2 linked regions of the Canis lupus familiaris genome follow. The protein of the gene in region 2 interacts with the protein of the main gene of each other region in a pairwise test. Links are inferred from orthologs where the notes say so. Each region holds a gene or a part of one and is shown on either strand. Other genes may lie near its edges.

Region 1 (4,107 bases), on a different chromosome or scaffold from region 2:
TAAGGAGCCGTTCATTCTCTTTATGGTGGCTTTGGTCATCCCCTAAGTACTGGCTATTGAGCAACTATTATGTGCCAGCTACTGTGCCAAGAACATCATCTATATTATCACCTATTCATTCCTCCAGGCCTAGCTCACTGTTCTTTTTAACCCACCCATGACTTATGTCCCCAAGCCGAATTAATAATGCCACTACCGGTGGACTGGTCATTAAAACACTCTACTCATTCTGTTCACTCCTTGAATGCAGCTCTTCTCCCACAGCCCACGCTTCTACCTGTCCCCCTCAGTTCCTCAGTCCTCCTGAGCTGGACAGGACCAGCACCCACGCTTTATTCCAACTTCCCAGCATCTGGTAGTCCCCACGTGCCACATTCCGTTGAGTGGAACCACATGACTTCAAACTCTTGGAAGAATCCCGTAATTGTTGAGCAGGAGGGCGCCTGGAACCTCCGCTGGCTACAAGCTCCTTTCACACAGGAGGAAATTTAGGTTCGCACAAGTAACTTGCCTGAGGTCACGTAAACCTGATAGGACGAAATCAGAATCCAGTTCCCTTGCTTTTCAGCCCAGTGTAGATGCGACCGAGACACAACTAAGTATCTGTATTTCCCAATCTCCTGGCCCCACCCGAATCCTATCAGCAACTGGCCTTTGGACCTTCAGGCTATTTCTGTGATAATCTATTTTCTAAAAGAGCCCACTTCCATACACAGCTTTTCTTTCAAAGCTCCGCATTCCAAACAGGAAAGTCCAAACTCCAAATGGGCTGGCTTGAGCCCTTGAGCCGCAGCATCGGTGTAAAAGTTGGGGGTGGTGGTGGTGGTGGGGTGGGGTGGGGGGGGCCCTTCTGTGTATATTTTTACCAAGTTCTGTCCACATGCAGCCTTTGATCCCCACAAATCAAAACGCTTGTCAACACACAGAGCAGGCTCCCTCTTCCCCATCTCTTGAGACCTGGCGGTTGTGCTGACTCGAGGATCCTTCCTCCTCACCAACCTGGCGAACCCCAAGGATCTGTTCCCCTCCTGGACAGCGAGCTGGCTTGGCCCTCGCACCGTCCCAAAGGTGGACTGTGTGTGCAGCACCGAGCAGCAGGGTGCACCGCGTGCCTCTGCATCTGGAAAATTACAGAAATGTGACTTACTCCTCGCAGCTGTACGCAACCCTTAGCCCAAACTTTCCTACTTGTTGGAGAAAGTAAGTAAAATATGTTGGTGCATTCGGTTCCCCCCCCCCCGCCCCCCCCGCAGATTTCTTCTCTTTCTTGCTTTGAGTCCGGTTGCTCTGTTATGGCTGCTGGTCCCGCCGCCTCCGGGAGCTGCACAGGCTCCAGCACCCCTGGCCCTGGCCCTGCCCCTGGCCCCTGGCGGGACAGGGATCCGCAGCTTCCCGCGGGGCTGCATCCCTGGAGCACGTTCCCAGGAGCTGGAGGACATCTGGGCGGCCCACAGGAAGTTCTGGTACTTCGGACCCCAGAGCAGAGAAGGTGCTGGAAGGGGACAAGACCGGCCCGGAGGACGCCCCTCCGAGGCTGCCCCTGCGCGCACGCTCCGACCCGGCGTGGCCCAGCGCTCCCCGCTCCGCTCCGCTCCAGGACGGTTGCCCGGCGTGCACGTGGGGCCAGGCCGGCGGGGGAGGCGGCCTCGGAGAGCCCCGCGAGCTCAGGCTGGGGCAGGACGTTTAACACCCCCCCTCCCCGCCCCGATTGGGGTTATTTTTTAAGTTGTGAAAGCCTCCGAAGGGCTGGCTGCCCCCTGGGCGCGCGGAGGGCCAGAGCCAGGCAGAGCGCGGGGCCCTGGGCTGCCAACCCTTCCTTCCTCCTCCTTCGATGCCCTCGACCTCGTGTTGGCCTTGGGGCTCCGGGGCGGGCCAGGAGCAGCGCGTCCCCGCCTCCGCCCTCCCGGGCCCGCTCCACGACCCCCGCAGGCTCGCGGCCTCCCAGGGCGGGGGCTCCTCGGGGCGCGCCCTCCCCCCCGGGGCGTGCACGGAGGCGCGGCGGGCGGGGGTGCGGGGTGCGGGGTGCGGGGGTGCGCGGTGCGCGCGGGGGCGGGTGGCCCAATGGGCAGCCTCGCTCGGGAGGCGGGCTCAGGCCGGAAGCCGTCCCCGCGCCCCCGCCCTCCCCGGCCGAGGGCTGCAGGGTCCCCGCCCGCGCTCTTTGTCCGGGGCCCGCGTGCGCCCCCGCATCGCCGCGTCCCCCGCGCGTCCTCCGCGGAGCTCCCGGCCCGGGGGCGCGGGGCGCGGGGCGCGGGGGGCGGGAGGGCGCGCGGGCGGGAGGCGCTCGTGCCCGGCGGCCCCGGGAGCGCGCGCCCCTCCGCCCTCCGCCCTCCGCCCTCCGCCGCCGCCGCCGCCGCCGCCGCGCCCGCCCCTCCCCCTCCCCGCCCCTCCCCTCCCCTCCCCTCCCCCTCCCCGCGGCCGCCGCGGAACTTGCTGACTGCGCGGCCGGGAGGAGCCGAGCCGGGCGGCGGCGGCGGGAGGCCACAGCGCGCGGGGTGCCCGCGTCCCCGGGAGCGCGCCCTCCCCCGCAGCCCGCGCCCGCAGCCCTCGCCCGCACGCTCTATTTATTATTTATTTATTTATTTCTCACTATTTATTATTTATTTCCTATCGCCTCGGCATCCTCGTCCTCCTCCTCCTCCTGCGCCTGTCCGCCTCCGCGGCCCTCCCCGGCCTCCGCGGCCCTCCCCGGCCTTCCCCGCGCGGGCCGGGCGGCGCCACCCTCCGGCCGGAGCGCGGTACTGCACGGCCCCCGCCGACTCTCGATGTTCCACGCTCCCCGGCCGGAGCCTCCGCGGCTTCTTTTTTCCCTCCCCCCCCTCCCGCCCCCCCCGCGGCTGCCTCCATTTCCTCAAGGAAGGGTTTTTTTCGCTCTCCCTCCCCCACAGCGTAGCGGCGCGCGAGCGGGCCGGGCGGGCGGCCGAGGTGAGGCGGCGGGGCCGGGGGCGGCGGGGGGCGCGGGCGGGGGCGGGGCGGGGGCGGCAGCTTTGTTCGCGGGCGGCGGGCGGGGCGCGGGCGGGGGCGCGGGCGGGGGCGCGGGCGGGGCGGGGCGGGGGCGCATCCTCGGCGGCCCCCGGGCGCCCTCCCCACAAAGGCCGCGGGGCTGCGGGGCGGCCGCGGCTCGCCGGCGCGGGGAGGTGCTGCACTTCTTGCGGCTTTTGTTTGTTTGTGTTTGCCTCCTCTTTCCCCCCTTTTTTTTTTTTTTTTTTTTTTTTTTTTTTTGGTTATTTCTGGACAAAATGTCGGTCCGCGATGCGAGCGCGGAGCGGGGGGCCGGGGCGGCGCGGGGAGCTCGGCGGGCGGTGCAGCCGGGCGCCCGCTGCGCCCGCGGGGCCGCTCGGGGGAGCTCGGGGAGCTCGGGGGGAGCCCGCCCGGGGCACCGGCCGCCGCCGCCCCCCCCCCCCCCGCCCCCCGTCCGCGCCGCGAGGGCCGGCGTGCACCGAGCGGGAACCGCCACCCCGAATGCGCGCGGGGGCCATCGGCGGGGTCCGCTCTCCTGCTGCAGCAGGGGGATTGCACGGTCTGCCTGGACCCTTGTCAGCGCCTAAATATTGAGACGTTAGTGACTCCTCTCTCCTCTCTCTCTTTTTTCTTTTTTTTTGCACATTTTTCAGCCCCAGCTCTGTTATGCACAAGGTGTCCTCAATGCTCGTCGCCTAAGTTCCCTGGCAAATCTGTCTCATGCCTTCTGAGAAACTACACAATTGATAGATTGTCCAAGGGATGGTGGGGGGGGGGGGCGGGGGAAGGACAAAAAAAAAAAAAAAAAGAAAAAATGTGAGTGGGGTGTTTTGTTTGTTTGTTTGTTTTTCTTTTTCTTTCTTTTCTTTTTTTTTTTTTTTTTCTCCGAACTTGAGTTCGGCCAAGGCTTGAACGTGGTGAGACACACCACCTCCCCGTGTAACCTTGCTGGGTGATGATGAGATCAGTGTGAGCACTGGCAAGTGTTTCTCATTAAAATGCGAATGTAGGGGAACCTTGGGAGGAGAACGTGCTGTTGTTGGTTGATCCCTCAGGCTTAATATTTCCTTTCTCTCTCTTTTTTTCTCCCCCCCTCTCTTTAAAAGTTTTCTAAGAAATAAGTTCACCAAGATGTCCAGTGATAGGCAA
Region 2 (3,644 bases):
CTATATATATTTTGTCCATAAGGCATATCACACAGTCTTCTTGCACTTAGGAATACTAGTCACCAACACTTAAGCTTGGTGGCCATTTTAAACAATAAATCATCAGTAAAGAGCGCAAAAATGGAAAACATGGCACTTAAATAGATCACAAAAAAGACTCATGTTTATAGTATGAGTGCTGAATAAGAAGACAGAGCCTTGTTCTACCCTAGCGAGGAACATGTCAGACAATTCCAATTTTGTTGCTGCTGTATATGTGTCCATGAATAATTGAGAGAGCATAGGTATTGATTTTGTAGCTAGAAATAAATTTTATCAAGTAGGCAAATTCATGAATAATGAGGATTGAGTATGCCTAGGAAAAATTAGAAAACACTATTAAAACTTTCACTAACAGAACTAAGCAAAAAAAGGATCAGGGTACCTTTGGTATAGAGGAGGGGAAATAAGTTTTGTTGGAAAATTTTGTGCATTTTTGTTTTGTAATATGGTTTGTTTTTTTTTTTGTAATATGGTTTAATAAAGGTCTCTGAAATTGACAAAATTTACAAAAATTTTTATATGTTTAGGCTACCAAGAGCATCAGTCTTAACTTTGGGTATTTTTTTTTTTTTTTTTTAACTTTGGGTATTTTCTACTTAGGATTCTTTGTGCAAAATAAATCAATAGAAGAAACCTGTTTTCCCATGGAACAGCTTTTTTTTTTTTTTTTTTTTTTTTCTGCTTGTATTTTAATAGTTATTCTGTGAGATTATATTTGAAGAGGAGCTTAACCCTTTTATAGAGTGCTTAGTTGGAGTCATGTATACTTATGGAAGTTGAATTTTGTTAGTAGCTGAATGGAGAGAATTGAGTGTCTGAATTATTTAGTGTGTTAAAACTCAAGCCTACTCTTACTTGATTTAGTCTATGTCTTCTATTAAAATAGGTTCCTGACATGGCAGGCTATCCTCATATTCGTTACATTTCATCAGGATTGGATGGAACATCATTCAGAGGTCCTTTCAGGGGCAATTTTGAGGTATGTAATACAAATAATGAAGACATTTGCCATAATATCTTTAATGTAGAGAGAGAATATATGTATTATTAGTATTCACTAATAGGACTGAGTTGAGTAGGACTGTTGCACTGGCTGGGAATCAGAAAGCAGCATAATGTCTGAATTTTTGATACTTCTGCTGGGGGTTATCACAGAAAGGTTTATAAGCAATATTAATCCACTTATTTAAAGATGAGTAAATGAAAATAATATAGAAATTTATTAAATCAATATAAATATCAGATAAAGAGCTATACCATTAAATGTGGGTGGAAAATCTCAACTGCTTTTGACTAAGCTTATTTTTAGAGAAACATTACTGGACAAAAGAAACTTAAGTAATTCAGCACATAGCTAACTATCTTGTTTGAATTTTCAGGAAGAACAAATCATTTGAGTATGATTTGAAGTTTTGTTTCTTCATGTCACTTTGAAAGTTCCTTTGATTCATTTCCCTATTTTTCTATAATGATTTCATCTTCTCCATGCATACATACTGACTTTATATAGTAACATGTAGTAATATGTTGTCCTTATCTGTAAGGATAACTTTGCCATACTACTACAATTGGCTGAGAAAAGAATTATAAACATTTGCCTTACCATATATGGCTTTTGTATTTATATTGCAGGTTTATAAATATGGAACTTTATTGCTTTTACAGTATTAACAGTGTTCACAAAATAATCATCCTGGCTTTTGATACTAATCTTTACCTTCAGGAACTGATTCATTTGGAAGAAAGATTAGGAAATGTGAATCGTGGCGCATCCCAGGGGACAATTGAAAGATGTACATATCCACATAAATACAAAAAGGTAAGAATTTATCCTATGAAATGTCTATTTTATTATTAAATTGCATAAAATTTAATATTATGGACCTTTTTTGAGATTGTGGAGTCTAGCAACTACATTATTTATTACCAAAACAATACATAGTTCTTTTAAATTATTGAAGGTCTAAAAATACATCCTTGAAGTTACTTTACCCTGCTGACCCAAGTCTTCCCTCCAAGAGTAAAAATCATAGTTAACACTTTTTTAGGTAAGCTTTACTATAATATGCATAAAATGCATATTTTTATGCATTTACAGTAATGTCACTATGTATGGATTTTTTCTTTCACCTTCGAAAGTAACAAAGGGGTTGATATACACACAGTTTTGCACATTTCCTATTGCTTCTCTTTCAGCATTCACAGGTCACCCATATTCTTTTTAATAGTTTATATAAAATTTCATTATATGGCAGTACTACAGTTTTTTAAAAATATTTTATTTATTTATTCATGAGAGGCACAGAATGAGAGAGAGAAGCAGAGACACAGGCAGAGGGGGAAGCAGGCTCCATGCAGGAAGCCCGACATGGGACTCGATCCCGGGTCTCCAGGATCACACCCTGGGCTGAAGGCAGCCATTAAACCTCTGAGCCCCCCAGGCGTCCCAGCAGTACTATAATTTAACCTCGCCATTTATTTGGACATTTAATCTACATTTCTTATATTCTGCCCTCAATTTCTTATGGAGTAGTATATCTAGAAGTCAAGGAGCAAATCTATAAGTTTCTTTCAATAATGTCTTCTGCTACACAGAGAATGAAAACAACTGTTCTTTGTATTTTTTTGTTTTCTAAGAGTATTAGTGAGGTGTTATCATTGAATTTAAGTCCTTTCAGCTATGTAAGCTAAAGACTATAATTAGCATTAATTTATTTGGATATTTGAAATACTCATTAGTAAAATAAAGTTCATTTACCTGTACTCATGATGGGACAAAAATAGTGTTTATCTTGTGTATCATCCTAATTGTGGATTAAAAATAATAGAAACTAATGAATTCCTGTTACATTTGATTATGCTTTTGATGCTGTTTAAGGGCCTTATAAACAACAGTTGGTGGTAGTCACTTAATTCACCATTAATTCATGACAGCCATACCTGGGAAATAAGTTGTGGGTATGAATGTGTGGTTTTGTTTTGTTTTTGTTTTTCAAATAAACACAGACTTTACTCAGTTGTTCAATAATGTCATCTCTACTAATAAGGTAACAACTGATTGGTTCTCACAGAGGAAACTGCACTGCAAACAAGATGGGGAAGAAGGGACTGAGGAAGACACAGAGGAAAAATGTACTATCTGTTTGTCTATTTTAGAGGAAGGTGAAGATGTGAGGTAACTAGACATTAATTATTTAAAAACCTATTGTCAAAATTGTACAAGAGATTTTATTTGAAAGAGGACTAGAAACCAAATACAGATTACTCCTGGCATACCCTATTACCAATACCTGACAGATAGAATTGCCTTTTTACAGCGAGTGGAAGAATAGAAAGATGAAAGTCTTTGTATTACCAGCAGAGGGGTGGGAATGGGAAGTATACTGCCTCTTTTAGGGGCCCACCAAGATTTGGCCAGGAAAATTTTGTAATCAAATTGTCTTCTTTAAATCTTTCAGAAAGGAGAATTTGGAGGCTTCAGAACTTAAGACAGTTATATTAATGTGTTCTTCAAAGCTTAAAGAAGGCAGTCCTGATTAGCTCCATGCAGTGTGTTTTACAGCATCTTTCATAAATTAGTTGTGTCCTAAAATTTCCTCTCA

Evidence for each region.
Region 1: the proteins of RNF111 (region 2) and UBE2E3 interact in a two-hybrid assay, tested with the Homo sapiens proteins (2 studies listed by BioGRID and IntAct). The link is inferred for Canis lupus familiaris from reciprocal best matches to the Homo sapiens genes RNF111 and UBE2E3.

Annotation. Positions count from the first base shown.
Region 1 is NC_049257.1:24,551,534-24,555,640, forward strand, and holds the start of UBE2E3 (ubiquitin-conjugating enzyme E2 E3), read left to right. Parts: upstream 1-1,287; 5' UTR 1,288-1,292; coding exon 1,293-1,489; intron 1,490-2,594; exon of another isoform or gene 2,595-2,922; intron 2,923-3,533; exon of another isoform or gene 3,534-3,555; intron 3,556-4,064; coding exon 4,065-4,107. UniProt on the Homo sapiens protein: Accepts ubiquitin from the E1 complex and catalyzes its covalent attachment to other proteins. In vitro catalyzes 'Lys-11'- and 'Lys-48'-, as well as 'Lys-63'-linked polyubiquitination.
Region 2 is NC_049251.1:24,341,438-24,345,081, forward strand, and holds part of RNF111 (E3 ubiquitin-protein ligase Arkadia), read left to right. Parts: intron 1-928; coding exon 929-1,021; intron 1,022-1,765; coding exon 1,766-1,861; intron 1,862-3,089; coding exon 3,090-3,217; intron 3,218-3,644. UniProt on the Homo sapiens protein: E3 ubiquitin-protein ligase. Required for mesoderm patterning during embryonic development. Acts as an enhancer of the transcriptional responses of the SMAD2/SMAD3 effectors, which are activated downstream of BMP.